Linked DNA regions of Xenopus tropicalis. The protein of the gene in region 5 binds, or shares a complex with, the protein of the main gene of each other region. Links are inferred from orthologs where the notes say so. Each region holds a gene or a part of one and is shown on either strand. Other genes may lie near its edges.

Region 1 (6,024 bases), on a different chromosome or scaffold from region 5:
TGACTGTAGATTGTAAGCTCTTGCGAGCAGGGCCCTCTGATCCTATTGTTACTCTGTATACCCTTGTTTGTAAAACTTTTGTTTAAAACTTGTTTAAATGTATTGTGAAGTGCTGCGTAATTTGCTGGGGCTATATAAATAAATGATGATGATGATGACTGAATAACCTGGAACAAATTTGGAGGCGTTGGGCCAAAATCACTTCTGAACTGTGTGCAAAGCTGGTTCATACTTACCCCCAAAAGTCTTAGGGAATAGCAATTTCCAGCTTGGCAAAAATATTTATCCCTCCATTGACCTAAATGGTATCATCTGGACTGGCAGGTAAGCAAACTATCCATTTAAATATGCCAGGGAGCACCGGACCTGTGAGTGTCCCAGCAGCACCCAAGCAATTACCATTTAGGTCAATAAAGGGCAAGTGGGACTGCTTTGCTACATGGCAAACTGAAAACATATGGATGGCGAACAGCTGGCTATCGCCTAGTGCAGGGGTCGGGAACCTTTTTGGCTGAGGGAGCCATAAACACCACATATTTTAAAATGTAATTCTGTGAGAGCCATACAATGGCCGACAGGAGCTAGGCAGAAGCCGGGGCCTCGATTTGTGGCTGCCTGTGGAGGACGATGCGACTTCAGGCCCGTTCGGCCGCGGATGCTGCGGGGCAAGGTAGGGTGGGTGTCACCTTTAGCTGTTTAATATGGCTTGTTAGTGGTATAACTAGAGCGCTACCTAGCACAGTGCACAGTTTGCTTCTCTTTGTAGCCCCAACAGAGACATATTGGCCACATTTTATTTTCAATTCAAGTGTGAACTGTCACAGGTTTCTGCTCCAATGTCCCTCTCAGTTCCCTGGGCCCTGGTTCAAGTGCAACCCGGTAAGGACGCCGGATGAGGAGTAGGGCGTGGCCTGCGCTCGGCGGATAGAAGACATGTTCTAAGGCTTTTTTTTTTTTAATTAAAGATTTGGCAGTGAGCCAGATGCAGCCATCAAAAGAGCCACATTTGGCTCCCGAGCCATAGGTTCCCTACCCCTGGCCTAGTGCGTCACTGCCTTACAGCTGTCTTACTTCTACAAAAGGGTACGTGTTTGATAATTAGACAAAAAGCACGTTTTTGTCATTTTATTCTGCTGATTTTTGCTTATTTTGCACAAAATAACATCACACGGAAGTGATCTCAAATATAAATATGACATTTGCACGTAGGATGGGTTACTTGGAGTATTGGGCAAGGGTGTGAATCCTTTAGCAAGGCAACATACTAAAGAGCAAAGCATTTTATATATTCACATGGGGAGGAACCCATTTCTTTGTACTAAAAGAAGGGTTTGCTGTTGGTTTATAGGAGATCCTTACACTGGTTCTGGCACTGCTAGCACCGGGCTGCGTAAAGGTGGCCACACACACTAAGGTCCGCTCACTTGGCGAGGTTGCCAAGCGAGGGGATCTTCTCTCAATATCCCCACCTACGGGTGGGCGATATCGGGCTAATTCAGGCTAATTCGGTCATTTGGCCCTGGAGCCAAACAATCGAATTAGAACGACGGGTATAGGCGCAGTCGGTTCAACAAGCTGATGCGGTCCCCAATCTGACTAAATTTTTAAACCTGCCCAATCGATATCTGGCCAATTTCAGGCCAGATATCGGTCAGCAGGCCCGCCGTTAGTGCCCATACATGGGCCGATAAGCGGTAGAGTTGGTCTAAGGGACCGTTATCGGCAGCTAGAATCGGCCCGTGTATGGGCACCTTAAGGGTACAGGTAAGATACATGTATTATAGCAGCAGAGTAAGGCTGGCCATACATCAGATTTTAGTCTTCAGATATTGGTTGTAGGTTTAAATGCAACAATCTAAAACTAACACTCAGACTGAAATTTGTAAGATAAAGTCATAAAAATAACAAATGGGAGGATGTTCTGAACATGAAATAGTTGGCAGCACCAATCGTATGAGAGTGACTCCCATTGTAGGGCCCCCAAGGATATCGTCGGATATTCAATACATGTTCCAAAATGTTAATCTGTCCAGTCGACTAAATGGGCGATTGCCACGGTATGATAATTATCGGGACGTTAATTTGGAGCCCACACATGGTCCGAAAATCTGTACATGTATGGCTGCTTTAGAAAAGGTTGTTTGCTGAGAAACGGACTATTGCAGGAGTGGCAATAGGTTCTTGGTTTTGGGAATCATCTTCTTTACCCACACTTCTGTCCTAATTCAACCTGAATTAATTCAAAATAAATTTTAATCGAGATATGTGCCACTTACCAGGTAAGACACTGGCGGGTACTTTCTACCAAGCAGTTTCACTTCCTCTAGAACATGGTTAAATACCGACATCATCCGGCGCTCGTACTCACTGTCGGCCTGTACTGCCCCACTGAAGCTGCACTCCTGGAAACTGCCCGGGGGGAAAAAAAGCAATAAAACCCTCTGCACTGGAGACTGGGATGTTTATCACTGGCCACATTATACCAACATAATCATGTCCCACAAATAAGGCTGCAGTTCCTCAGCCAGGAAGGTAAGAAAAATCACTTGGGGAGAGACATCTGGCCTGAGCCTACAGTGTGAAAGCCCAGGATTAGGGCAAAGACGCCAAGGTCTGTCACTGCCAACATGGTGTAATGTCTCAGCTATAGAAGGTCAAGGCCAGGTACCAGGCAATCACTTTAAAGAATAATGGAGCTTCTCCAGCAGAATCCTGCATTGTAATCTGTTTTTCAAAAGAGCAAACAAATTTTTTTATATTTAATTTTGAAACTTCACGTGGGGCTAGCCATTTTCTTCATTTCCCAGGGTTCCAGTCATGTGACCTGTGCTCTGATAAACTTCAGTCACACTTTACTGCTACGTTGCAAGTTGGAGTGATTCCCCCCCCCCCCCCCAGCAGCCGATCAGCAGAACAATGGGAAGGGAGCAAGATAGCAGCTCCCAGTAGGTATCAGAATAGCACTCAATAGTAAGAAATCCAAGTCCGGCTTGGGACTCCTCCAGTTACATGGGAGTAGGAGAAACAATAGGTTAGCTGAAAGCAGTTCTAATGTGTAGCGCTGGCTGAAAGCTCAGACTCAGGCACAATGCACTGAGATGGCGCCTACACACCAATATTACAGCTACAAATACATTTTTTGGTTCAAGAATAACATTTTAAATGGTAGAGTGAATTATTTGCAATGTAAACAGTGTAATTTAGAAATAAAAAGTACCCCATAATAATCATAACAAGTATAACTGTGTGACAGCATCTTAATAAAACAAAGCCTCAAGCAAGCGGTGCATCAGGTAAACAGCTCACTACACTGAAAATATTGGGGAGCCTGGCAGTAACTGAATCAGAGGGACACACATACTTGTGCAAATGTTATACTTTTCATCAGGACATGATAGTACAGATCTCAACCATTATCCTTACCTACACGAGTCTGGATCCAAAATGAGTGCTTCGATGGCATGTGAAATTAAAAGGCAGCTCTGCTGCTGTCTGATTCTTTAATTAAGGAATATGAAATACCGTTTATGTTCAAGCAGCACATGGTACCATGCTAAACTGCCCAAAATTGTGCTAGTCTGAACGTTATACGCAAATCCTTTGACACTTTCTCTTTCTGATGTTATTGGCCCTTTAAACAGCCCCAGCATTAGATCAGCCATCCCCTTTCCATTTCTTAAGGATCTCCTTTAGGTTCAGTGCTTAATCATTATAACATTCACTCTGCAACTGCTTGGCCTATCCAGGGCACAAAATGGGCATTCACTCAAATCTCACTCTAAACCTTTAGGTTGCACCAACCATATCTGATGCATTGGGCTCCACCATAAGAGCCAGTACCATTATTTAGGAACCCTTGGCTTAGATTTTCCCTTTTAAAGGCAGTGACAGACAGGGAGAATCTCCCTGCAATACTATCCCACCGGCAAGAATGTAAATTGCCGGTGGGATGGCATATGCAATTTGTCACCTTGAGAGGAAACTTCAGGCGACTTCGGCAAAAAGTCTTTCACTGCCCTTAGGGCAGGGGTGGCCAGACTCGGTCCAGTCGTGATCGACCAGACTGACGCGGAAGTGCAGCGTGAATGTGTACGTACGCGACACAGCGTACGTACGCATTCACGCAGCACTTCTGAATCGCAGGCTTGATTGTGGTCCACCAGAAATCCACGGGGGATCGACTGGTTGACAGCGATCGACGTATTGGCCACCCCTGCCTTAGGGTGAAGACACACTGGGCTACTAGTAGCAGTTACTTTTTCAAGGCTACTGAACTCCAGAAAATACCCCTCCAAAGACAATACTAAGAATTGTCTCTGCTAAAACACACAAGACAATTATCGGTAAATGATCAGCATTTTATTTTTTAGTAGCAGAGACAAGTAGCTGCTACTAGTAGCCCAGTGTGTCTTCACCCTTAGGGCAGGGTATTTCTGGCGTTTAGTAGCCATGACAAGTAGCTGCTATTAGTAGCCCAGTGTGTCTTCGCCCTAAGGCAATGGGTTGCTGTACTGTACTCCTATATACAGAAACAATAAACAGATTGAGAGGTGTAGATGTAGATATATAGATATATAAGATTAGACAGACAGACTGACCTTTTTTAAAAAAGTGTTTGAAGTAAATTTACACAATGAATGGTTAATAAATGTGCCCAAATATCTGCCCATATGTTCATTAAAAAAAATCCCTCTCTGCTCTCTCGTGTATTATTCTGTTGGATATTAGCAAGTCAAGATCATACTAAAGGATACAACTCTATATTTCTCAAAGTTGCAGAATCGGCATCAAACGAAGATTGATACAAGTCCCCATAGCGAGCAGCGAGGCTTTTGAATTCTTCCATGCAATGCTTCATCTGCCAGAGGAAAACATGATTTAAGCACTTTATTCAGAGCAAAGATGGACAACCTATGGCAGTAAGTGGGGGGGGAGTCATAGTACTGTACCATTTGGGGGCCTGCAGGACTGCACCCCAATTTCACATAAAGGGTGAAACAAACAGGCTAACAAGGGGATAACATGGTCACATATTAAACTGAATATTTAATTTTTAAGCACAATGTAATAGGCTGAGGCAACCTGGTAGCCTCATATAGCAAAGAAAAAGAACCATAGTGGTTATGGTGAGAAGGGAGCCAATGAGCCCTATTGGAATAGTGCAGTGTATATACTTCTGAAAACAGAAGGTATTCACATGCTTGAAATGAGAGCCTTTAATTTTCATTTTTATAGGCAGAGACACGCAAATGACTCTTTTATTCCCCAACTATGCATCCAGAACTGCTAGTTTAATAGAGCAGATACAGCCTAATAATTCTAAAACATATATCCAAACAATAATAACAACACAGGTCTAATATAATGGCACTTATGTAACATTTTACTTCTATACTCCAGTCCGTTTCACTTTAAACCCTACTTGCCATCTCCCTTTCATTACCTATGGGTTCTGGAACTAGGTCCTTCTGTTGGCCCCAGGGCTGCACTGTATATAGATCATGGGGATTTCTGTTAGGCTTAAATACTGATAAACCACAAACTCCATTGTATGCAAGGTGGAGTACCCGAAGAAGGGTGCACTCTGGCAACCATACAAATGGCTTGGCAAATGGAAAAAGTGTAAGAAATACTAAATCAATCATGTAAATGGCATTATGGCATATTGTTGCTTTGCAACTAGTACAATTAGAACTCCTATAGTTACTACATAGGGAATTATAGAAGTATGCTGGATGGTATGTGTGCTAGCCCAGCCATTAAGTGTGCTACAGCACAAACTATCCTTTTCTTCTACCCACTGCAACTGGTAAGCTGTATATTCTGGCTAATGCTATAAGATGCCATAGACAGTCACTGTTTATTGGGCTGCTGGGGGGGCGGTTTGGGCCTCTGTGTACTTGAAATGCCAGGGCCTATTTTGAATCCCAGTCCAGACCTTGGTGGGGCAACACGGTCAGCCTTTATACCTGAGTGGAGATGCGCCCACAGCGCTGAAGTTCATTCCCTGACGCCATGGCGATG
Region 2 (6,566 bases), on a different chromosome or scaffold from region 5:
TGTATAGGTATTCTGGCTGAATGCTAAACCAAAGCTGAGTGTGTCAGAAGCCTTCTACTTTTAGCCCATTAATTCTTTTCAAACACACAGACATAGAAGGTCTGAGGGAAATAAACACTTACCGACAAACAACACAAGCCAACCCCATCTCCATGGCAAAATCATCAGCACTGGTCTCGTCAAAGCTTGAGAGATCTGGCACAGGCAAATCCTTGCTTAACTGTACTGTGACAGGGGAAGAACGAGCTTCTGTCTTCTCTATACGAGGCTTCTTTGGAATATCCATAACATCACTGATTTCCACTTTCATCTGTCAGCCCAAACAAATACAGAATTGACTGCATAACAGTGCGATACTCTACATAATACAAACATTTTAGCAACCTAGCAATAAGAACCAGCCTGAACTGCATATGGCCACATATTGTGTTGGCTAATTATATTGTATAAAAATCTATATATAAAACTAAAACCAACGACAAAAAATGTAGCCGTTTGCCTGCTGCAGTTTCCCCCCCACTGAAAAAGCAACTGAAAATGACTGAAATTGCCCAGTTGCCTAGCAATGGGACTTGCTTCAAATACTAGCGCACAGGTGATTTTGATACAATTTTCACCTTAGCGTATCTGAGGGGCTATACATACCCCTGGTGAAAATTCAGAGATAAAGTTCTACACACTCTTGGTAGAACCTGAATACTAGTGAAATTTTATAGTGATATATTGCTATAGGAGACTAGATAATTCCACAGTGCATGTTGCAAAAGTGCTACATTTCAAAAGAAAATATTCTGTCCTGTGTGACCATGACAACTGCCCTAAAGTGAACAATAGACTGCGTTCTGGAAAAAATTGTAAAGAGCTATAAATAAGAAAAAAGCACAGTCAGCCTGGCACAAAAAGTTTCTCATCAATGACACAAACAGGGGGCACGGCTTCTTGTTGAGTAATAAGAAGCCACCAAAATTAACCCTTGCACATCTGTTGTTATGACATATGAGCCAGATCTACTTTATGTGCATTGCATTGATATCAATGGAAAGTAAACAATGGTGATCTCACAATTTGATAGTGAGGAAACGCCTTGTTTGCCACAGACCTCAACAATTAGGGGCCGATTTATGACTGCTTGAGCCTTTTACCTCGTGTAATCACAAAGGAAACCCCACGAGTTAAGGAACTCAAGGGGGGTTTCGTGGGAAAAAAACTCTTTAGCCGAGGCATTTTTCCCCTAGCGGTCTTTCTTGAATTAGAAAAAGTTTGACACCTAAAAGCTGCAGAACCTGCAGAATATATGTGTATATGCATAAAACACAGCACTAATGCAGTTTTGACAGATCAGGCAGTACTGAATCGAAATGGCTAAAAACTCAAGTTTGGAAGAAACAAAGAAATGAAGACATTCACTCACAATAAAACACTCACTTTTAAGGTCCCCATACACGGGCCGATAGTAGCTGCCGATATTGGTCCCTTGGACCGATTCAGCAGCTTATCGGCCCATGTAGGGGCAGAAACGAGGGGCCTGCCCGACAGATATCTGGCCTGAAAATGGGCAGATATCGATCGGGCAGGTTAGAAAATTCAGTCGAATCGGGGACCGCACCTTAAGTCATTGCACAGACGAACACAAAGTTTTTGAGTTTGTCTTTTTACCTTATCAGCAGATCTCTTCTCAGCCTCCTTCTTTAACTTCTCTGAAGTCAGTGGTTTGCTTAGCATACTGCTTGATGGAGTGCTGCTAGAGGCCTTTGTTTCAGGCTTAACTTTAGATAACATTGCTTTGGGCTGCTCCATTTCCTTAAACAGAAACACATTACTTTAAGAAAAGCAGCAAAAGATTCACATACATACTTTTCTTAGGTATATTTTTCAGATACACATTAAGTGTGGAACAATATTCTTTACGACTTAATCATCCTGCAGAAATTATAAACTAAAGATTAATTTTCATTACTTTAAAAATAACTTAATTCAAAAAGAGGGCAAGCAAGAAAGAGATATGCTATATGTTTTCATATGTCAAGCTTTCATACTCCATATGCTGACTGGTTATTGCCAACAATATTATTGTTGGATTATGACAAGCCTCCTGGAACTATATCAAAAACACAGGTGGCAAACTTTGGAATTTTGGTATAGATTACTGCAATGGTGCAAAGCTGCACCTATGTTTGTACGTTTACCCAAATTTAGATGCAAGGTGTTTGAGTCTATACTTTAACCTCAACAACAGTTCTTCCGGGTTATTACCGAGAACCTTAAAAATGGGAGGGTTATGTAATTCTTCTACAGCAATACATACTTCCTTGCACAAATGTTTTAATGTTGCTTATTTTTTAGTCAGGGAGCACAATTCAACACATATCTTATTTGCTATGCAAACTACAAAGTACAATTTTGCTGAGTGGGATAGAACCATTTGCAAATTACTCCATTCCCCAATAAACACATTGAGGGGTGGGGTGTTGGCATTTCTTTTCCTTTGAAGCAAATTTTACCTACATAAACTGTCACAACATTTAGAGAACTATATACAATACGCTATTACAAGCAAATGTATTCTTGTTTTTAAAATATTAAATAATTATTAATTATTAAACCTTCGGTTGAGGACGGTAGACAGAGTCGTTGCCTTTGCACAGTGACTCATCTAGCAATGCCTTCAGTTTTTCAGCAGAGTCCTTGCTCTTTGAGTGGAGGTATCCAAGTGCCTTCAAAAAGACAGGATCCAACTCAGTATTTATAGTGACTGCCATGGTTATAACCTGCAATGAAAATAAGGCTATTTACAAAAAAAAATAAATGTATCAATTATTTGTTCTTTTATGGTAAAATGTTAGAACAGCAATAAACATACCTTGAAAAGTAAATAGTGTTTATATTATCCAACTCATCAGAGATACGAGAGACATTTAATCCTTGAACATGGCTCTAAATAATAGTAGAAACGATCATCTTAATTCAGGTAATGGTGACTGCTCATGGGAGATTAGTCGCCCGCAACCTCGGCTCCAGGGGCGACTAATCTCCACCGAAATGCCTTTCCACCGCCAATAAAGTGAATCACTGGCGGGAAGGCATACGTGATGAAGTCATGCGAAGTTGCCTGCAGGAGGAAACTTTGCGCAAGTTCGAAAATTAAGCAACAGGTATGCCTTTCCACTGGTGATTCACTTTATTTCCAAAGATGTAACCAGGGGTGACAAAGTGAAATGCAAGCTAAAATAAAATAGTTATGGAAGTTACCTACTCTACCTTATTTAGGGCTCTGACGTGGAGCTACTTGTAGCAAGCTACAAAACACCAGAAAATACCCTGCCATAGACAATACCGAAAACTATCTCTGCTAAAACACACACAGAGACAATTTTCAGTGTTGTCTATTTTGTAACAGCGACAATAACACAATTAATTGCAACAACAGGCACAAACCCTATTAAATGAACTAATGCTGGAAAAAAGAGGGTATCACAAATACAATATGAATGCTTGGTTCACTATATACTTGTGCCTTATGGTCTTTTGAAAATGTAAAGCTAACACAAAAAATGAAGACCAGCAGAAAAACATCACATTATATTTATTGAAAAGGCAAACTTCCCCTCAAATGCTTGGAATCAGGATGAAATAAGGACAGGAAAAAAAGAAATTTTTCATGAAACTGCTTACCAGTCAATGGCCCAGTTACTCTACAGTTACAATATCTACAGTATCTGGGTTTCACAGTAGTATGTACAACATAACACGTTATATATAAACATTATGTAACATGAAAAGAGTTGAGTGGGGCAAAAACTGTCATGCAATTTGCTTTACCCAGTCTACTTCCTCTTTACTTGTCTATCAACATTGTGACACGCAAAGTTTAGCCCAGGTTTACTAGCCCATATTATTTTTAAACATATCACCAGCAACGTTGGCCCCCCCTTTGGGATGCTAAGGGTTACTACGCCAGCGGCAAACTGCATCTTTTAATTCATTCCCCCATGTTAGAGTGTGGGGCCAGGCCAGTAGAGTATATTCTTAACACCAATGATGCTCAGGCTGCTTCAGTCTGGGAACTATAGAAGCCACAGGTTAGAAGATTCTCCTGCCTTATACTGTACAGCGATACTGCCATCACTACTTACTTCAGCAGACAAAGCCCTAATAGAACTGCTTACAATGGAAATATTCAAAATCCCGTGCTTTGGTTTAGGATTCTATTCGCACTGCGCCGCTACTTCCGGGTGTGGGAGGTCCCTCAGCAATACTGCTCCCCGCAGCCAGCGCTCAAGCGTTCCTGTTCGTAACGGAACAGTAAAAGATTTTCCTTCTGGCTGTGTTCGGGAGCGACTCTCCGTTGCACTTTGGGTTTTTAACTTTTTTTTACCCCGACCTTAATAATAATAATAATAAAAAAAAAATCAGTCACCATCAGGCACGAGAGAACAGCAGGATAAAGGTACCCGGTGTGGGGGGTTGCACAGTTGCTATGGGTCCTTCCCTAGGTCACTGCACATGGGAGCTTGAAACATTCTCCATCTGGGTTCTACTGCGCAACTTGCTCTTACTTTGCCCGGCCTCAGGTTCGGTTCTTCTTGCGTTAAATTCCCAACAGCCTTTACAGTGTACTGCCATAAAGGAATTCGGGGAGGTGTAGTACTTAATAAGTTGGGCTTTGTGTTAGTTCTAGTTTAGCCCACAATGGTGTTTTGCCTCTGTGTTACATCTGTGGCAATTAATATAGGACTAACAGAACCGCTGAGAGTGACAGGTGTACTCACTTACAGTAAGCATTTTATATGAAGTAACTTAGACAGGGCTTTCAAGTACTGTCTGCAAAGGTGTTTTTATGTTTGTTTCCTCCTGCACCCCAAAAACATACAAACAGGATAACTGGTGTATGAAAAAATGTTTTAGTAAGCTTAATGACTTAAAGTGGCCTTACACATTTTCCTGATATGGTCGGACTGGGGGGAGCAGGGAGCAGGGCCCACCGGGGCTACTGCTTCAGGAGCCCATGCACCTGCCTTCACACCATCCCCGCAGGGGCCCCCACCACCTGTCCAACCCCCTCCCCCGATCGTGCATAAGTGACACTTACCTTCAGTGCGTCAAGGGATGGAGACCTATGGACCTACAGGAGTGGTGTGCGGGGATCGGGTTCGGGCCACTGGGGCCCACCAGGTTTTTCCCAGTGCCCCGGCGGCCCAGTCTGACACTGGCCATTTTGTGTTGACTGAAATGGCCCCTAGTACATGCAGTTGACAGGAAAGCATAACTGAGCCTATGCAGTACTTGCTACAATGAGATTTTTAAACCTGCCCAATAGATATCTGGACTTGGATTTTTAGCCAGGTTATCTATTGGGGAGGAAGTTGGAGAGGTCACATACACAGGTAGATAAGCGGCTAACTTTCTTCTGAAGGGGCCAGAGCAGCAGTGTAAACGTGAAATATTGTGTGAAAAAAATATTGTGCAAATGAATTGTAGAAGGAATTTCCTTTAAAAAGTTGTGTTTCAGGCTGATTTTTTTAAATTTTCTCCAAATACCCCACTAATCTAGCCCATCTGTCCCACTTTCTACTGCCTTCTTTCCTAGGCTATGCAGGGGAACCGGCTGCACTGTAGGATAGAAACCAATCGGCAGCTAGGCTGACCTGATAGGGAACTGAAGCCTGTCTTTGCTTGTGTGACAGCAGGGCTGTGATTGGCTATCCCCCTCCTACTGTGCTTCTGGCAGGCATTGTTAGGATGTGCCCACCCCTCATTTGAAATACAACAGGGACTTAAGAGGATCTATAGGGAGCTCCAATAAAGGGTCCATTTTTACAGATAGTATTGTTTTTTTGACCAAAGTGAAACCTTCCCGTGTATGGCCATCTTTAGACTGTTAGCTCCACTGGGGCAGGGAGTGTGATGTGATTGATATATAATCTCTGAAAAGTGTTGCCTAACATGTTGGTGGCATTTTGAACTGGATTACATGTGGCCATAAAACAAAGTCTTAGCAAAAGATTTACTATCCTGTCCTGTTTCATACCTGTGATGTTTCAATAGGATTTTAACATATGTATACATATAATTATTTAGCAAACAAACAGAGCATAGCACTCACTGGTTCTGTGAATAGTGAAAAAGAGTTCTAATTATATAAAGTTTACGCTAAATAAAACCTTTTTAAACAAGAACAATGAGTGCTGTACCCTATTTGTTTGCTAATTATTATTTTCTCTCAAACACCCTAGAAACTATCCTATATGTGAGTGCAGGTATTCTGAAGTTATCTGTCTGTCTCTAAATATTAGATGGGAATTAAACACAGGACCCTATAAATATATATGTGTGTGTGTGTGTGTGTGTGTATATATATATATATATATTTTATTTTATTTATTTTTTTCATGTATGAAACAAAAGTTTTATTGAAAGAGATCCAACGGTTAGAGCACAAACAGGTCCCTGAGGGAGAGCACTGTTTGTGCTCGAGATGTTGTATCTCTTTCAGTTAAACTTTTGTTTCTTAAACAAAGTCCCAGTGAGTGTGGAGAGAGTGAGAGAGAACGAACCGCACACTCAGG
Region 3 (6,024 bases), about 58 Mb from region 5:
TCACACCCTTTGCCGCCTATATGGTAAATTCAACCCTTCTAGTAGTACCTGCTTGTAAAATGCAGAGAACATCTGCAGCTTCCTCCATGTGTACAGGGCTTTCAAAGAGTTCAGATGATTTCAGAAAGAACTCACCACTTGAATCAGCTACCTTAAAAGAAAAAAAATGAAACAAAATGAACTACTTGGGCCCACCTAAGATGGCAACATTACCATGTTTGAGTTGCAGCAGTTGTAATTCTATTATTAAAGGTAGGCATGTCACCCATACTTTGAAAGGGAACAAAATACCAATAAGCAATTCTGTGTTTGTGGTGTAAAGACTTAAATGCCCATGCGGTAAAATGTATGTGGGACAAACCATAAGGAAAATGAGAACTAGGATTGGGGAACACAGGAGATGAAAAAACAATGTAAAAACTCATACACCAGTCAGTAAACACTTTTTTGAAACATGTAAAAGTGCAAGTCTCAGGTGGCTGGTATTAGAACAATAAAATCACCAACCCGTGGAGGAAACAGAAAGAAGCTGTTACTACAATGTGAAGTCAAATAGGTAGACAGGCTCATTACATTTAAACTGTTTGGATTAAATGATGCACTCATAAATGCTTTTTGTGAACTATTCAAATTGTCTTTGCTTTTTCACAATGAACTTATGATGGCATGGACTTTATGGGTAGGAGACAGTTACCTGCTTTTTATTTATTAATTGTATTTGCTACTTTATAAATACTATGGCTTTGTATTGTAACACTTGTGATCAGGTTGTGTGAGTTTGTGTGTATTATCGGAGTAAGCCAGTAGATGGCAGTACCGTGTAAGTAGAATTTGATGTATGTAATTTAGTGTGTCTGGCCACATAATGGAGCTGACACGTTGGTTTTTGAGGGTTTTAAAAGGTCACTTGGGTTATGCACATTCTTGTATAACACCTGATGAAGGATCAATGAATCCAAAACCTGTTGTGTGGTATAAAATAAAACTACAAATGACTGATTGGCACAGTTCCCCAGAGTATTTTGTTGCTGATTTGTAAAGTCTGGATAGCGTGACCGTGCCTATACTCTGCATGAAGAAATTATATATTAAAAGCAATGGGATAAAACTTTATCCACTATCTTATTGTGATATGTATAACACAACTAGTGAACTTTATTTATATTTATTAAGGTTTACTGCAAATATGATATAAACAAACCTAAATATAGGATTGCAACCTAGACCAGTATGTCCGTACAACCTCTGTGATATTTCTATCCCACCCTTCCACCCACTCCCCTAAGGCTCCACTAACATATTTTGATTACATAATTATATACCTCCCAATGGCCAATTTTTGCTGGACAGTCCTACATTGCAGCCCTGAAAAATTAGCTTTGTTGGAAAGTGTGCAGGTGGGGATCTGTCACTGTGTACAAGGGCATGGTCAAGGCGGGATTCAACCTCTGGTCGGTTGGTATATTGAATATTTGTCACACTATGTGACACAGGTTGAAAAATATTGTTCTATACAATTACAAAATATCAATGGTCATAAGACACATAAGTTCCAGCAAAACTTACCTTATTTATTATAGCCAACAGTTCACTTAACACTAGGCGTAATCTGCGAGGAGAATCGCTGTGCTCAAACTCCAGCGTTAATCCATGCTGCAGCTGTGATACCAAGATACTCTCCCCACTGCCTCCTCCTAGTTTGTGTCTAGGCAATAAACGTAAAAAGGCAAGGGGTTAAACACTTCAGGCTACAGTTTGCTGTTCTGTTGGTTATCATTTCTGCAACTAAAATATATTATTTTAAAATAAGCTGTTCAGCTGTTAACTGGGTTGCTCAGGCTTAGGCTAATGCCACACGGGCATATTCTCACCAAGCCGAAAAGCACTTGCCGAGAATACACCCCAGTACTGTAGATTCTGACAAATGCAAAAGTACAGAAATTACAAACACGTACAAGATTATGCTTATAAAATGCACATCAGTCGTGCAAACAAATCAGCCCACCCTTCCAAACCCAGAGCCCTTGACAAAGCTCCTCGTGAAGGGGCGAAACGCGCGTCGGGCTTGTAGGGGGGTGGAACGGGTGTTGATGCGGGGCTCTGGGTTTGGAAGGGTGGGCCGATTTGTTTGCATGACTGATGTGCATTTTATAAGCGGGGGTGCCTCAATGTAAAAAACGGGAGGTCTGGCTGCAACATTGAGCTACCTGTACTCAATTTATGGTGGGGTGTTGGGTACAGAAAACGGCTGAATTCCAGCCTATAGCTGAAAGAGTCCTGTACTTTAACACAGCTATGACGGGGTCTGAATCCCCTACCCTGTCTCAGCAGTTAATATAGCACATAAAGGAAACTGGACTCGAGTTCTCCTTGTTTCGCAACAATTTTGCAACAATTGTTGCCGGTGTTTTTTTGCAATCTCTCCTTGGCTGCCTCTATAGGGCTGTGGATTTGTGGAGAGTGTTTGATACAATAGTTATTTTTTAAGCAGTAACAATTTAGTGAATTGAATGAGGCAGGTTAACTCTGAGCAGCCCTATAATACCTCATAGTTTGTACCTTAATTGAATATCACCCCAGGCGATTTTTAATGGGGATTATTCTAAGACATACTTCACCTTTTTAATTTTTACCAATAAAGGTTAAGTTTTAATGTCCTACAACACCTGATCAAGTGAATTACCCGATTATAATTTTTACCTCTTTTCTCTTTCTTTGGGGTTAACGGTGCAATAATTCTGAAGTCTAGACTTTTTTTCTGTATAATTTTACTTCAGTTGCACGTTACCTCAGTGTTCTCACTCCATTTCATACAACCTCAAGATAGGAGTGTAGATGGCTATAATTTGAAGGTGTATAGTTAGTGAGGACGGTGCTAGCTCTCTCCATTCCTATATTTTCTAAACTTTGCACAGTCAGTCACTGGGTGACTACGCATTCAGGTTTTTTAAAAAAAAATAAATAAAAAAAACCCTGCAAAGTGGGAGGGGCCAACAGCAGCCAATCATATTGTACCCATTGACTTTTATGGGGAAATTGAAACTGCTGCCAAACTTACAGCTTTGAGGCTACACTCCCCAAACTTGAATCACATAGTCATGGGGTCAGCCTGAATGAAAATATAATGATTGTTGGATGCCCAAAAGTGGGCGGAGATGTGAACAGCCAATCAGATTTTACCTATTGACTTGGCAGAAATCCAACCTGCTGCCAGTCTCACAGTAATAACCCCAGGGTCCCCAAACTTTGCAGGGTTAGGCACCAGGTAACTGTGGTTCAAGGTAAGAAAAAGTGGGCGGAGCCACCAACAGGCAATCAGAGTTTACCTATTGACTTTCAATGGGGAAATCCAACCTGCTGCCATTCTCACAGTACTAACACCAGGGTCCCCAAACTTTTCACAGTTGGTCACTAGGGGACTAGTGACCAACAACCAATCAGATTTCACCTATTGATTTTTATTGGTTTGTTGCCAGGCTTCCCAAACTTTGCATAGTCAGACACTGGGTGACTACGCATTTAAGGTTTTTTGTATTTTTGTAAGTGGGTGGAGCCACCAACAGCCAATCAGATTTTACCTATTGACTCTAAATGGGGAAATTCAACCTGCTGCCTGTTTTGAAAAAGTGGACGGGGATTTCACCTATTGAATTTTATTGGTTTGATGCCAGAGTTTGCAAACTTTGAACAGTCAGTCACTGCATGACTTTGTACCCAAGGTAAAAAAAAAATGTGAGCGGGCCGCCAAAAGCCAATCACATTTCTTTCATTGTTTTCAGTGGGAAAATTTTAACTGCTGCCATTCTCACATGTTTAATGTCAGGGTCCCCAAACTTTGCACAGTTTGTCACTAGGTGACTATGTTCCAAGTTTAGAAAAGTGGGTGGGGCCAACAAGAACCAATCAGATTTCACCTATAGACTTCATATGTTTAAATTTAAACTGCAGCCATTCTTTAAATATTAATACTAAGGTCTCCAAACTTTGCAGAGCTAGTCACCTGGTAACTGCAGTTCAGTTAGAAAAAGTGGGTGGAGCCAACAACAGCCAATCAGATTTTACCGATTGATTTTCAATGGGAAATTCAACCTGCTGCCATTCTCACAGTATTAACACCAGGGTCACTAGGGAACTGCATTTTTAGGTTTTAAAAAGTGGGTGGAGCCACCAACAGCCAATCAGACTTCACCTATTGAATTTTTTTGGTTTATATTTAAAATGTTGCTTTGCTCACACTATTTATGTCAGGGTTCCCAAACAAGTGGGAGGAGCCACCAACAGCCAATCCATTTCCACCCATTGGTTTATATTTAAACTGATGCCATTATTTAAATATTAATTCCAGGGTTGTTAAAGTTTCCAGAGTTAGTCACTGGGTATTTGTCATTCAAAGTTAGAAAAAAGTGGGCGGAGCCACCAACAGCCAATAACATTTCACCTATTTACTTTCAATGGTGAAGTGTAAAATACTGTCAGCCTCACAATGAATGCCTGAGTCCCCAAAATTTGCAAAGTTGGTCACTGGGGGACTGCAGTTCAAAAATAGGAAAAGTAGGTTGGGCCACTAACAGCCAATCCGATTTCATCCATTGAATTTTATTGGTTTAAATTTAAAATGCTGTCATTCTCAAACTATTTATGCCAGGGTGCCCACTGTTTGTCACTGGGTGACTTCGACTCAAGGTTAGAAAAAGTGGGCGGAACCACCAATCACAATTCACCTATTGACTTTAATGGGGAAATTGAAACTGCTGCCAATCTTACAGCTTTGAGGTTACACTCCCCAAACATGAATCACATAGTCATGGGGTCAGCCTGAATGAAAATATGATGATTGCTGGATTCCCAAAAGTGGGCGAAGCTGTGAACAGCCAATCAGATTTTACCTATTCAAATTGCTGCCATTCTCACAGTATTAACACCAGGGCCCCCAAACTTTTTACACTTGGTCACTAGGGGTGCGCAGTTTTAGTTTTGAAAAGTGGGCAGAGCCACCAACAGCCAATCACAATTCACCTATTTACTTTCAATTGTGAAGTGTAAAATGCTGCCAGTCTCACAATTTTTTTGCCTGAGTCCCAAAACTTTGAAAGGTTGGTCACTGAGGAACTGCAGTTGAAAAATAGGAAAAGTGGGTTGGGCCACTAACAGCCAATCAGATTTCATCCATTGAATATTATTGGTTTAAATTTAAAATGCTGTCATTCTCACACTATTTATGCCAGGGTGCCCACTGTTTGTCACTGGGTGACTTCGACTCAAGGTTAGAAAAAGTGGGCACACCCACCAACCACCAATTGGTTTTTGTTGGTTTAAATTTTAACTGCTGCCGTTCTTTAACTATTAATCCTAGGGTCCCTAAACTTTGCAGAGTTAGTCACTCGGTAATTGCAGTTTCAGGTTAGAAAAAGGGGGTGGAGCCACCAACCGCCGATCAGATATCACTTGTTGACTTTCAGTGGGGAAATTTAAATTGCTGCCATTCAGACACTATTAAAACCAGGGTCCCCAAACTTTGGACAGTGGTTTTTACTATATAACTGTGGTCCAAGGTCAGAGAAAGTGGGCAGAGCCCATTCAGTGACTTCATGTTTTTCAACCCAACATGAAGTTTGTTCTCAAACTTCCCTTTCTAGTTTCTCATACTATGGCAACTAACAAACTGAATCACACAAACTTTGAATATATTTGCACTGGATTCTTGGATGTTTGGTGTACTCTGTTTTTAATTCCAACATATAACAGCTATTGGCAGTGAGTTAATGAACAGCAGGACCCTGCACAAAAGGGGGTTATAGTTCAAACAACATATGGCTTATAACAGTGATCACCAACCAGTGGTTTGTAAACAACATGTTGCTCACCGCCCCCTTTAATGATGCTCCCAGTGGCCTCAAAGTAAGTGCTTATTTTTAAATTTCTGGCTTGGAGGCAAGTTTTAGAGGCACAGAGACACACTTTTACTCCAAGCAGAGCCTCCTGCAGGCTAGCAGTCCACATAGGGCTACCAAATAGCCCATAACA
Region 4 (6,024 bases), on a different chromosome or scaffold from region 5:
CCGCCTATATAAATGAATGTAGCCTTTAATGAAATTTGACCGTCTGTTTATCAGTACAGATATCGGACCTCTTATCCAGAAACCCATTATTCAGAAAGCTCCAAATTACAGAAATGCCCTCTCCCATAGACTCCATTATAAGCCAATCATTCAATTTTTTCAAAATAATTTCCTTTTTTTCTTTAATAATGAAACAGGACCTTGAACTTGATCCAATCTAAGATATAAAGAATCCTTATTGGAGGCAAAACAATCCTATTGGGTTAAATTAGAGTTTAAATAATTTTTTTTTTTAGCAGACTTAAGGTAGGAGATTCGAATTCCAGAAAGACCCCTTATCCAGAAAACCCCAGGTCCCGAGAATTCTGGATAACGGGTCCAATACCTGTACTAAAAACTACTACTAAAGCCATGTGGGTTTACCCACATAATTAGTACTTTGGCATTATTAGGAGAATATAAAAAACATTACATTTGACATTTAAAGGGAAAATGTATTCCAATTGTAATTACAAATTGCATTGGTATTATATTTATGAAATGTGCAAAACTAAAATTAAAAGTGTGACTCCTAAAAATATCTTTGGTTGATTGTGCTTAGCACAAGGAAATACCGAATCACTCGGGCTACATGCTATGCCAAATTTAGGTTCAGGTGAAGGCTACAGCCGGATTAGCCATTAAGTTAACTTTTAATATGTTATAGAATGTCTTTTTTCTTAAAACCTTGCAATTGGTCTTTTTTGTTATATATTTTTTTAAATAATTTGCATTTCTCTTCTACATCTTTCCACTGACCCCGGCAGCTAAAAAAAATATTGCTCTGTGAGCTTATACCGCTTTTTTTTGTTTACGGTTATTGTTACTTTTTATTGCTTTATCTTTCTGTATAGGCCCCCTTCTATTCATAATTCAGTCTCTCGTTCATAACTGTTGCCTGGTTGCTAAGGTAAACACGACCCTAGCAACCAGATAGCTGCTAAAATTTCAAACTGGGGAGCTACTGAACAAAATGCCAAAGAGCTGGAAAACCATAATAAAAATGAAAAACAATTGCAGAATCAAAAGCAGTCTCAGAATATCATTGTCTACATTACTCTAAAAGTTAGTTTGAAGGTTACCAAGCCCTTTAAACCCAACCTGTGACAATGACTGAAAATAGTAAACTTCATAAAAGGAATAAATTTGAGATTCAAATTCTAAATATTTCCATTGGAGATATATAAACGGAAATTAATAAAAGAGACAATATGACTGAGCTTTGTCGTGATATTGTATTTTCCTCGTTATAAAAAAACAAATACTAAACTAAACAATTAAACAATGTAATTGCCCTTAAAGAATCTGTTTCCAACAAATCGGGTTAAGTATTTGTAGAACACAAGTATATTTCTCCTTTACAACATTAGAAAGAGAAATTAAATATGCATTCACTCCCAATATTTCCACTGCAGAAAACAAGGCCACATTACCACTTTGAGTCATTAACTTCATGGTAGCAAAACCACTGAGCAAGGAAGCTGAACAGAATCATAAACAACCAGGGATGTTCACTGCCTGACAGAAGTGGTACATGCAAATAACGAGCCAGTAGTTAATTCAATAAAATCACAGCTAGTGCTGCTCTTAGCAGTGTGCAAATCATACCATCACTGATGCGATGTTTTGAGGAATACAAAGCTGCAAATGATTTAAGTTGTGCACGAAGAGGACCCTCTTCAACCCCAGGGCTGTCCAGCCATTGTAACATCTGCATGAGGACTTTGAAGAAGAGAGAAGAGAAAGCTGTATCCTGAGGGACAGAGCGCTAAACAGAAAAGATATAGGATTATTTTTGGTGGTAGCCAAAACATAATGCTCAAATTTTTATTCTTGTGCAACTTTTCTATCAGTGGCGATATGTGCACAGATAAGATTGTAAGGTATAATTATCAATGTGTGCATGCTGGTCTGACAATCCTAACCAATATCCATGTACTGCGTTTGCAAATGTCATCTGACGTGGTGCACTGGCAGAAAAGGAAGTGATAAAGAGCCACAGAGCTCCTCTTCAGCTCCTGCTGTTCCCTTTCTTATATTCTAAGAATATAAGCATGAATTATCAGAACAACAGAATGGTGACAATATGAGGAGTCGCCCTTCGTATGGTCTTTGTCTGTTCTGCCTGCGGACTGATGGGTTGGAAAACATAACAGGAGAGGAGACAACAACAAAGAGGAGTAGATTGCACTAAGACAGGGTTTCCCAACCTTTCTTACTCGTGAGCCACAGTCAAATGTAAAAAGAGAGCAACACAAGCACCATACAAGTTCATGGAGGTGCCAAATAAGGGCTAAGGGCTATTAGGCAGCCTCTATGCACACTATCAGCTTACAGGAGGCTTTATTTGGTAAAAAATCCACCGAGCCACTGGTTGGGGATCACTGCACTAAGATATCAAGCATTTAAGCCAGTCGCTGCAAGTCCATATGCAGCATCAGCAATGACCGAAACTAGAACTAGTGGATCATGCTGCTGACATGTTGCCAGTATCTCCAAGACCTGGCATACCCCTTGTCTCAACTTGAACGAGTCCTAAAGCATATCTAGTTTTAGAAGACACAAAAACACAATACCCTTAATTGTCGCAAATGCAGTGGGTACTTTCAGGGCTGTCAGTGGACAAACCTCATTTATAGCGCTCACTATAATCCAGGTTTCCACTGTAGCTGTTCAGACCAGTGAGAATGCATTACATACCTGGTATTGATAGAGTAGTCTCATTAATGGACAAGCGATGAAATGATTTCTGTGCATAGCTAGGACCAGGGCTCCACTGTGGGGAGAGTTTAACAGCGCACCCACTGCCTGGAGCAGACGCACTGCAATCCCTGTTAACTGGGTGTTTCCCTGTCGGATTCGGGCCAACTCTTGCCCCAAGGCTTGCTGTAAGGCGAGGGAAATAGGACGTGGATTGAAGTTCTGCCATCTTGGATCCGGATTTAAGGGGAAAAGCTTTATTTAAAAAAAAAAAAAAAAATCTTTAAATTTATAGAGTTCTTTGATAAAAAAATAATCCACAGATAACTGCAATTTTACTGGGAATAAATAAAATTTAAGACCTTAAACGTATTGATTTACCTGTAGAAACATCCCAGCCAAATCATCTTCTGGGCCCAAGACAGGTATCTGGGTCACAGCTCTAGCCCGTACTTGCCCCTGGGGAGTTTCAGTGCTGGCTTTTCTCTTAATCAACTCAGTGCTGTCTGTAAGACACAGATTGGAAAGATGGAAATCTTTCAGATACCATATATTTGCAGTCTATAATTAGTAAAATAAATACAAATTCTGTGACTGACAACAGTCCTGGCTAGTATTGCAGTCTCACAAACCTTATGTAATTATACAATTAAATATACATTAAGCAGCAGGAAAATAAACGGACATACCACGCCTGGGGGGAATAGATGCTGTCAGCAGAGAATGGAAGGTCTGGCCCCCTGTAGCTCCTCTTTCATGCTGAACTTCAACAAGGTGAGCCATGTAATCTAGAAACGAAGCACATGAATTCCTTATTCTCATGGGGAATATTTTCTACAGTGACACAATGCCAAAAGCTGGACTTGGAGAGGCAATAATAAATAAATGAAATGCAACACTAAGAGATATACAGCAATTTCTATATTACCAATTTCTTTGTTTTTATTTTTAAACGGTGGTGGTAAAGAGTTTTCCTTTGCGCTACTTAACTAACATTATGGCAAGTCACAACAAAAATATAGTCCAGATATCGGCACTCACCAAAATAATAGCCACTGTCCGGGTGCTAACCCTATATTCATGCACCTTCTCCAAGAAAGCACTCACGGACCAATATAAAAAAATAAAATAATTTATTAAACAAAAAAGTCTACGCGTTTCAATCCATATAGGATCGTCATCAGGACACACTCATGTGTGTTGAGTGTTTGTGTCCCTTTAAGGGGATTTCTAGCTATTTTCACATTTATATCCTTGCAATATATTTCACATATATACAATAAGAAAAAGAGGTGCTAAGATTATGATTTAAAAAATTATCTTTAACTCATTAGTACTTTAGTAACGTCCTATAAGTGTGTATGTGAGCAATTTACTAGAGAGAAGGAAAGTATATAACCACTGGAGGAACAATTCCGTTGAGTTTGGAGAACATGCCGAGATAGTGGCTTTGATGTAGGGTGGGGCATTTTTATTTTTTTTTTAATACAGGGCTTAAGCCATATTCAACTTTAGAACTTAAATGAGAATTGAATAGCTAAATGTTTAGATCCATAAAAAATTGTGTTCCATGGGTTTCCTCCGAGAAATCAAAAAACATACAAGTAGGTTAACTGGCTCCAGATAAAACTGACCATAGTGTGCATTTCATAGGGACGTTGCCCCTATATTTAAAAGGCACAAAGTATTCCCATGCAGAGTAACCTAAAGCATCCAGTAAGATGCTTGCATTTAGGAAGGTGACCTAAAAACGTTACCTGCTGATTGGTTGCTATAGGTAATTAGACCTTTGCTCATATGAGCAATCACTAAAATGACGCATAAATTGGCAGTTGTACAGTCAGATGAGGATTGTACAACAAATAAACAGCAAAACATATGGAATAGAAAAAGAACCATTCCTCTTCAATATTTGATACAATTTTAATTCAAACAGTTCCCAGGGAAAGATGTCAACACCTTATGTAAGTGAAGGCAGTGAGATTTTCTACCTGTATAGAGTAATAAGGCAGCTATGTTATAAACAAGCCAGATTCTTTGCAACAGTCTGTTGCATATCCATTAAGTCGGCTTCATACCACTGATACAGCATATAACATCTTGAGTATATTATTTTCCACATATATAAGGAGCATGTCACTATCACTTTAATTAGCTGGTGAAGCTAAGCAAATTTTTTCCTGTTTCCTTTAAGTTTGATCACATACCAGTAAAACAAATCTGGAAATAAAGTTTAGGTGTTTAAAGGAACAGTAACACCAAAAAAATCAAAGTAATATACTATGCACAACTGCGCTGCACTAGCAAAAGCTGTGTGTTTGCTACAGAAACTATGCTATAGTTTATATAAATATAGCTGCTGCGAGCTATTGGGGCAGCCATTCAACTGGAAAAAAGGAGAACACACAACTTTTACCAGCAGAGGGCAACAGTACATTATATTTAATTACTTTAAAACACTTCAAATTTTTTGGTGTTACTGTTCCTTTAAACATAAAATGTAAATTAAATTGCTAGCATACTACAGATAGGCCGTTTGTACGTCGTATAATACAATACTGTATTCATGCAGGGTGGGTTATGGGGGGAACCATTAAGCATACAAAAAAAACATACAAAAACAACCAATACCCAATACAAGAGGTAAAGAAGACCTTACCCAAAAGAGCTTTACAATCTAAAGGTGTTAATGCACTCTCCCAGCAGACAGACATGTTTACTTATTCCCAGTAACTACCATGCATCACCACTCTCTTCTACTTTTTTTTTATTATAGTTCTCAACTCTTTCACATACATTTCTGTACCATGGGTGCATTGTTAAAGAAGGAGAAGCAGAGAAAGAAGAATAGAAGGGGGGAACCCTGCTGGTATCAACCACTGCAATCTCCTCTACTCACTTTTGTCCATGATGTTTTGCTCTAAGGCTTGAGGTTCTTGGGACACAGCCTGGTCAAGATACTGAAGAAGTTTACTCATGCTGGATACTGGAATTCCAAATGACTGTACAAACAGCAACAGTTGCTGGGGCTCCAAATCATGTAATGCTAAAATCATACAAAATCAAATAATGGATAATATAACACAACCTCACCATTCCAACATAGATATGCACTTTTTGATGATGTCTATTTTCACACACACACTAAGTCCAAATAAGTATGCTATAGTTTATGCCAACAGGATATTAAACAAATGCATAGCCAGGATACCTTTCCTTACACCACCATTACAGTAGCCACAGCCTTCCAAAAGTGGACTGAATTAGGACAAAAGTTATTTCTCC
Region 5 (6,547 bases):
TCATTGATGCTGACCTTGTTCCGATGGCTCCTATTGCCGCCAGGCCAAACAATCAGATTACTCCGATATTGGGCATTTTACGATATTATACACCCACTTAGCCACCGACATGCAATGAAACACACTAAGTTTGCCCAGTAGCAGTAAGTCATAGCAACCAATTAGATGTTTGCTTTTAAATAGGTGAACAATAAATGCCACGTGCTGACTGGTTGCTACTGCTTCTTGCCAAACTAAGTGCCTCTTAGGGCCGTGACAGAAAGGGAGATTAGTCACCGAATAATCTCCCCGAAATGCCACCCGGCTAGAATGTAAATCGCCGGTGGGACGGCATATGCAGCGCCGAAATCGCCAAAGTTTCCTCTCAAGGCAACTGCTGTGATTTTGGCAAATTGCTGCGCCGCATATGCCATCTGTCATGCAATGACAGACAGGTTAATGGTATCTTATAACTAAATGGCAATCTATATTTACCCTAAAAGATTATATTCCATGGCCAGGCAAACGACCACAGGAACTTGTCTGAGTCACTTACATTTTATATGAACATACAGATGACAACGGTCTTTTACCAATTATCCAGTAATTGGTGGTGGGAGATAAGAAAAATAGGACTGCCAATCTGTAGAGAGGCTGCTGTAAGATGCCATAGACCAGGGGTGACCAATACGTTGATCGCGGTCCACCAGTCGATCCCCTGTGGATCACTGGTGGACCGTGATGAAGTCGGGGATGTAGAAGTGTTGCTTGAATGCATACATACACATTCACACTGCACTTCCGCATTCCCTGGTCATCAGTCAACAGCTGAATGAAAAAGTCTGGCAACCCCTGCCATAAACAGTCACTATTTAGTGGGCTGGTGAGAAAGCTATATGGGCCTCTGTAATTAAAATGCCAGGGCCCATTTTGACTCACAGTCCAGGCCTGATTACAGTACTTGCGCTAAACCAGCTTAAGCATATAAGTGGACAAGAAGAAGGATCCAGGTATGGAGCTATTAACCAGGTCATGGATGGCAAGTAGATTTATGCCTGCCCTGAAAGAGCAGTAGAAATACATGTAAACTGCCATGGGAAGCTCAGGAATAATTGTATTCTGTTCAACAGCAATTCCCACCCACAGCATGCAAATAGCCACGCTAGCACTGTTCAGCAAAAGGCAATTGACTTAAATGGAAATAGGAATGGGGGGAGATAAAATTAAAGATAGAAGTATTAGCGTTAAACACTAATTTGACATTATAATTTATTTTTACTTGCTGTAAATTTCACCCATATTTCCCCTTTAACCTCACCATTTTAATTACATTTGCCTTTTACAAATTCAAGTTAAAAATTTTTCTAGAAAACTGTATATTTTCTGGGAGTACATCAGTTTATTCTTGCAAATTTTAACCTACCTGCCCATAATTGTCTATGCCAGTTACTAATCTATTTAAATTTAACAAGTCAAACGCTGTCCTTAGGGATTGACCGAGAGTGGTGAGTCCTACAGCCTGAAGGTTTTTCAGTTCATTCATAAAGGTTGCATGATTTTCTTTCCATCCAGCCTGTAAGCAAATAGAACAGGTATATGTCAGATTCTTAAACATAACATTTTCAGCTTATAAATAAAGACAAAAACTGAACTTAATAGCAGTTAAATGTTTGCTGTGGTGAACTCTAATTTCACACTTTGATAAATATGCCCCTTAAAAACTTTGCTCACATAGGGAGCACTGGGGACAGGATGTGCAGAAAACTTCTGTAGGTCCTATCCCCAGTGCTCTTTAATGGATGTGCATGCATCCAGGGTTGGGTGAAAAATCCCTTTAAAAAAATATATATTAAATATATATTTATTTATTTATTTTTTTAAATTAAATTTTTAATTTTTTTATTTTATTTTCTATTATTATAGTTATATATTGCACCCTTTTTGATTCAGGAGGACAATATTTCATTCCACTGTGTACTTGTAAGTATATTGTTGGGATGACAATAAAACTCTACTTACTTACTTATATTGTAATGGTAGTATAAGCAACATATAAAAACATTCTCATTTCTAGATAAAAAAACAAAATATATTTGGCACCCATATCAATGTAAAAAATCCCATGGGGAAGGGGTTCAATTAACAGTCTGAGAAATGCTGATTTATGCTAGGTCATGCAAGTGGACAAAGGCTGGTTATTTAAGAACGTACTGGTACAGAACTAAGAGTGGATAATCACACAAGCTAGTTCATGCCTCTGGCAAAATGCAACTAAAATAAAATGTGTTGTTCACATAAAAATAAGAAAATGCCAGAAACGGTAACACACAGTAAAAGAACAGATGCAGGTATTGTGACTGCAAAAACCAGAACAGCATAATAAATCAAACAATAGGACTATGCTCATCAATACTAATAATAATAAAGTGACAGCAAATGAATGAAGTGCCGTATAATAGGATAGCAGCAAACATGACTGTCGAGCACGAACATTAATGCTAAGAGCAGAAAGAAAGTATAACACAAAAGTCTACCCTCAAAAACTTACAATCCATACAAAAATAATAAACAGTTGCCGCCAAAATGCCTTTAATATTATCTTAGTGTTTTTAATAAAGAAATATACTCAGTGTGCATTTAACTGCATTACAAATACTCCAGGTGTGCAACCTACAGCCCGCCAGCTGCTGAACTACAAATGGGGTTCCTTGACAATAATTTGGCTCTCACGTGACAGTGAGAACTAATGACTGGGAATTTGTTTGGTGGACACTTAACTGTTTTCATATGGTAACTCCCTGCAGCCCCCAAGTCTGGTGGACATTTAACTGTTCTCATATGGTAACTCCCTGCAGCCCCCAAGTCTGGTGGACATTTAACTGTTCTAAAATGATCATTCCCATCAGCTTTTCAGACACTGGGTGCTGGGAGGTTAAGGATTGAAGGTTGGACATCCCTTGTTAGTATGTGTGTGTTTATATTGTATAAATATAAAATATATACATATGCACACGTGTTAAAATTATGTATCATTCTAAAAATGCATACAACAAATATAATTTTATATTCCTATGTGTAATTGTATATTGCTTTGATAATAAGAAAAAAATGAAAAACAGATGAAGATTAAGCAGGGACTTAATGATAATATTTTACACACATGCAAAACTTATTAGCTGTTATTGTGCTGAGACCTTCCCCACTTTGCAATAGGCAGATATAAGTGAGACACTAATGAAAATACATTGTTTTTATCAGGAGAGTCACTAGGGCCCACAATAGTCTCTCACAAACAGCAGCCCTGACACTCCAGGGCCCCTATCGTGATCTGCGAAGTTCCCCTTGGGGATGTCACTTTTAACTTGAGTCTCGATCTCCCACAGTTCCTTGCGGCTGCGCTGGGTTACGAGGGGGAGGAGTGGGGGATGTCGGCCATGTTTCTGTCAGCTACTGGATATGTGTGTGTGTGTGAGTGCGTGTGGTGGCTGTTAAAGGGATACATGCCAGCAAGGCTGACACAGACATGGCACACAGAGGGAGGGGGAGCAGTGGTGCCTGCTACATGATGCTGATTATATTTATGATTACCTTGATCCCATAAGGAGGCTCTTCCAGGGTGACCAGCATGTACCTGTCTCCTCTGCTAGCAGGATCTCGGGATCTGAGCTGAGAAACAAGACAGAGAGGAGCAGATGGGGTCAGTAGGAGGGAAGGACAGAGGCAGATAGAAGATCAGAGGAAGGGGGGAGAGCGTTAAGTAGGCAGCTTACAAGCGCCCCCTGAGTTGGGGGTAACCCTAATGGAACAGGGGGGTAGTGGTGCTGGCACCCTGGCTGCTGCAGCTGCTCACTGGGAGGGGGGTACTACTATACCTTCATGAAAGTCTCTACTGCGCCTTTAGCTATGTCCAGGTAGGTAGTGCCCAGGTGGGTGCGCTGGTTCATTGAAGCGGACGTATCTAGCAGAAAAAGTAAAATGGGCATAGTGCTGCCGCTGCTGGTACAGGCGAGGAGCTGCTACATGGGCAGTTCCATTCGCCCAGCACGGGAAACACAAGGGGGCTAAGCAGGGTGTGGGGGAAACAGCAGCGGAGTGTCCCTGAGTCTGCTAGCTGGCTGCCCACAGCCCCATATCCTCTTTGTATGACGGGTCGTGGCCTTCAGTTCCAAAAGGGGAAGGTTCTTTAAGGGGCTATTATTGATGGGGATGGGTTTTTTGCAGTTTGGGACCCTTCTGAGAAATTCTTCTGTATTATATCATGTTTCTGGCTGGAAGGGAAGCTGGCTTGGCTAAGTTGGATTGTTTATGCCCCCCGTGGATGTGACAGAAGTTTGAATGAGTTCAGCACTACTTCCCCCTGCCACAAGCTCTGTCTCCCTCTACTGAACGCTTCCTTTCGCACTCGGAGCTTTTAAAGCGAGGAGGAGGGGTTCGACGGCTCCTAATGCCGTTACGTCAGAGTCCCATGTGACGCGGGACAGGCGTGCCTTATTGGACAGCATGTGCTTCGGCTCATGTATATTCATGAAGGGATTGTGTTACGCGCATTCATTAACCCTATCGGTGGCTGAGATCATGGGGAAAGCGAGTCTCCGCGGGAGGAGTTGGGTTAAAAAGGAAAGAGCGCGGCAACGGGAGGTGTCATGCGCGTTCATGGAAGTGGGCGGGGAAATGCGGGACGCGCGTACGTACGCGGGTTTTGTGCGGCGCGCTTTGCCTTGTGTATAACGGGCGTCGTCGCTGTGTTTTTTCCTCAGTCGTCAGCAGAGCAGCCGAGGGCATGGTGGATGCGGGTTCAGATGAAGGAAATTAATGCTTTTTATTTACGTGCTTGTAGTTAAACTCCTCATTCGCTTTATCTTTATATCCTCTAGTGTACATACGTTTATTTCTGACCAGCCCATATTGGTTTTATACGTTCAGTTCCGGCGTTCTTCTGGCGACTGTCGTTTTTCCCCATGGCCTGTTTCTTGAGCGCTGCTCGAAAATGCTTGCGCGACTGGGAATGCTGGGAAATGTAGTTTAACTGCGGAGTACAGCGCTTTCCTCAGGCCCGTCTTCACAGTTGGACTGCGAGTCCCGGTATTCTCAGTATATAAAGGCTGGGGCGTTTGTTGTTGATCTAATGTTATATCTGTACAGGTATAGGATCCCTTATCCGGAAACCCATTATCCAGAAAGTCTCCCGTAGACTCCATTTTAATCAAATAATTCAGAATTTTAATACTAATTTCCCTTTTCTCTGTAATAATAAAACAGTGCCTTGTAATTGATCCCAACTAAGATATAAATAATCCTTATTGGATGTAAAACAATCCTATTGGGTTTAATTAATGGTTTATTGATTTTTTAGTAGACTTAAGGTATGGAGATCCAAATTACAGAAAGACCCCTTATCCGGAATACCCTTGGTCCCGAGCATTCTGGATAATGGGTCCTATACCTGTATATCCTATATGGCAGGGAAGACTATAACAAGCCCCATCGTGTGGCAGTCCCTGGGTGACCCAGTAAGTCCCTAGTGAGCAGATATCAAATAACAAATATAAACAAGGCATGGCCTGTGTGTGAGGTGGGCTTAGCTGAGGGCTATGAGCAGGGCACAGACTGGCTGTGCAGCTGGGATACAAATGGAGGAGCTACAGTCCCATTATGCAGCAGGGGAGAGTAAACTTCTCTCGGGCAGGTCACATGCGCTTACCCTTGCACACCAGGCACTCTGTCATCTAGAAGCCTTTCCCATTATCTAATGCGCTTTATACAAGTCTTCGCCTGAGGGGCCTCCTGAGCAGTGCAAGTGTTCCTTGCAAGTCTGATGAGGTTATATCTACGCAGGGGGGTAACAATAGCCCCACAAGTGCAGGGGACCCTGACGTGTGCAGTTTCATGGCATGTCCTGTTGCCATACTTGAGGGGGCCCTTACAACAACAACAACAACAAAAAAAGTCCACGGGGTTGAAAAATGTCTAGGTATGACCCTGCATGTAAGACTGGGTTTGCAATGTCATCATTGAAAGACTTTGAAGCAAATTTGTAGCATCTGTCTTATTTTGTAAGGCTGCAAAGTAGAGGCCTTAATTTTGGAGTTCAAGCATTTTGATTTCATAACAAGACTACTGATATTAAAAAAACATGGCCACAAAAGTCTCCTGTAGTTCCAAGGATATCCTAGCATTCACCCTCAGCCTAATTGGATTCCAGGTTGGGCAGGCCCACTGTTTTCAAACGCTGCATAAATGGTCTGAATAACAATATAATAGACACAAGCAGCGTGTCCCTAGTTTTAATGAAAAATAGAATTTACATACTGATGAAGAATTCTCTAACTTGCTTTATACCTACGTTTTACCTGTAGCTGCCTCTGTAATCTCCCTGAATCTAAAGTGGTAGAAGAGCTTGTCAGTCTCTTGGCAGAGTGACAAAGAATAGTGCACTGAGCTGCCACCTAGGAAAATGATTAGCCTCAATTATGCAGCAGCTACTTATTCCATTGCAGCTATAGGTAAAATATATCATTGCTTTAGAAAGGTTCCCCCTGCAGAGAATATGAAATGTGCGCTGTGGGAA

Evidence for each region.
Region 1: ints6 (region 5) and ints7 share a complex: the UniProt entries of both Homo sapiens proteins name them as parts of the integrator complex. The link is inferred for Xenopus tropicalis from reciprocal best matches to the Homo sapiens genes INTS6 and INTS7.
Region 2: ints6 (region 5) and ints12 share a complex: the UniProt entries of both Homo sapiens proteins name them as parts of the integrator complex. The link is inferred for Xenopus tropicalis from reciprocal best matches to the Homo sapiens genes INTS6 and INTS12.
Region 3: the proteins of ints6 (region 5) and ints2 are in contact, whole or in part, in a cryo-EM structure (PDB 8RBZ), measured with the Homo sapiens proteins. The link is inferred for Xenopus tropicalis from reciprocal best matches to the Homo sapiens genes INTS6 and INTS2. Residues at the interface, in NP_036273.1 of Homo sapiens: Ile484, Val486, Arg487, Ser488, Arg489, Phe527, Gln528, Val529, Ala530, Leu531, Leu532, Asn533, Phe541, Arg542, Asn543, Ala544, Tyr545, Ile547, Arg549, Leu552, Leu553, Leu556, Met559, Arg560, Asn562, Leu563, Leu564, Lys565; in NP_065799.2 of Homo sapiens: Ile855, Asp856, Pro857, Leu858, His895, Arg923, Glu925, Leu926, Lys927, Ala929, Leu930, Ala932, Ala933, Gln934, Ser936, Ala937, Gln940, Ile941, Glu944, Asn1010, Lys1013, Leu1014, Phe1017, Gln1018, Gly1019, Tyr1020, Pro1021, Ile1046, Ala1047, Gln1048.
Region 4: ints6 (region 5) and ints1 share a complex: the UniProt entries of both Homo sapiens proteins name them as parts of the integrator complex. The link is inferred for Xenopus tropicalis from reciprocal best matches to the Homo sapiens genes INTS6 and INTS1.

What each region holds. Positions count from the first base shown.
Region 1 is NC_030681.2:14,761,341-14,767,364, reverse strand, and holds part of ints7 (integrator complex subunit 7), read right to left. Parts: coding exon 5,970-6,024; intron 4,859-5,969; coding exon 4,755-4,858; intron 3,493-4,754; coding exon 3,424-3,492; intron 2,410-3,423; coding exon 2,277-2,409; intron 1-2,276. UniProt on the Homo sapiens protein: Component of the integrator complex, a multiprotein complex that terminates RNA polymerase II (Pol II) transcription in the promoter-proximal region of genes.
Region 2 is NC_030677.2:72,493,414-72,499,979, reverse strand, and holds the start of ints12 (integrator complex subunit 12), read right to left. Parts: upstream 4,504-6,566; 5' UTR 4,421-4,503; coding exon 4,418-4,420; exon of another isoform or gene 4,336-4,417; intron 4,227-4,335; exon of another isoform or gene 4,134-4,226; intron 4,080-4,133; exon of another isoform or gene 4,059-4,079; intron 2,935-4,058; exon of another isoform or gene 2,861-2,934; intron 2,786-2,860; exon of another isoform or gene 2,769-2,785; coding exon 2,604-2,768; intron 1,801-2,603; coding exon 1,657-1,800; intron 311-1,656; coding exon 123-310; intron 1-122. UniProt on the Homo sapiens protein: Component of the integrator complex, a multiprotein complex that terminates RNA polymerase II (Pol II) transcription in the promoter-proximal region of genes.
Region 3 is NC_030678.2:91,784,625-91,790,648, reverse strand, and holds part of ints2 (integrator complex subunit 2), read right to left. Parts: intron 1,706-6,024; coding exon 1,567-1,705; intron 152-1,566; coding exon 49-151; intron 1-48. UniProt on the Homo sapiens protein: Component of the integrator complex, a multiprotein complex that terminates RNA polymerase II (Pol II) transcription in the promoter-proximal region of genes.
Region 4 is NC_030685.2:29,728,853-29,734,876, forward strand, and holds part of ints1 (integrator complex subunit 1), read right to left. Parts: intron 5,786-6,024; coding exon 5,639-5,785; intron 3,528-5,638; coding exon 3,429-3,527; intron 3,246-3,428; coding exon 3,121-3,245; intron 2,995-3,120; coding exon 2,740-2,994; intron 1,808-2,739; coding exon 1,648-1,807; intron 1-1,647. UniProt on the Homo sapiens protein: Component of the integrator complex, a multiprotein complex that terminates RNA polymerase II (Pol II) transcription in the promoter-proximal region of genes.
Region 5 is NC_030678.2:149,908,321-149,914,867, forward strand, and holds the start of ints6 (integrator complex subunit 6), read right to left. Parts: upstream 4,375-6,547; 5' UTR 3,963-4,374; coding exon 3,852-3,962; intron 3,646-3,851; coding exon 3,568-3,645; intron 1,553-3,567; coding exon 1,403-1,552; intron 1-1,402. UniProt on the Homo sapiens protein: Component of the integrator complex, a multiprotein complex that terminates RNA polymerase II (Pol II) transcription in the promoter-proximal region of genes.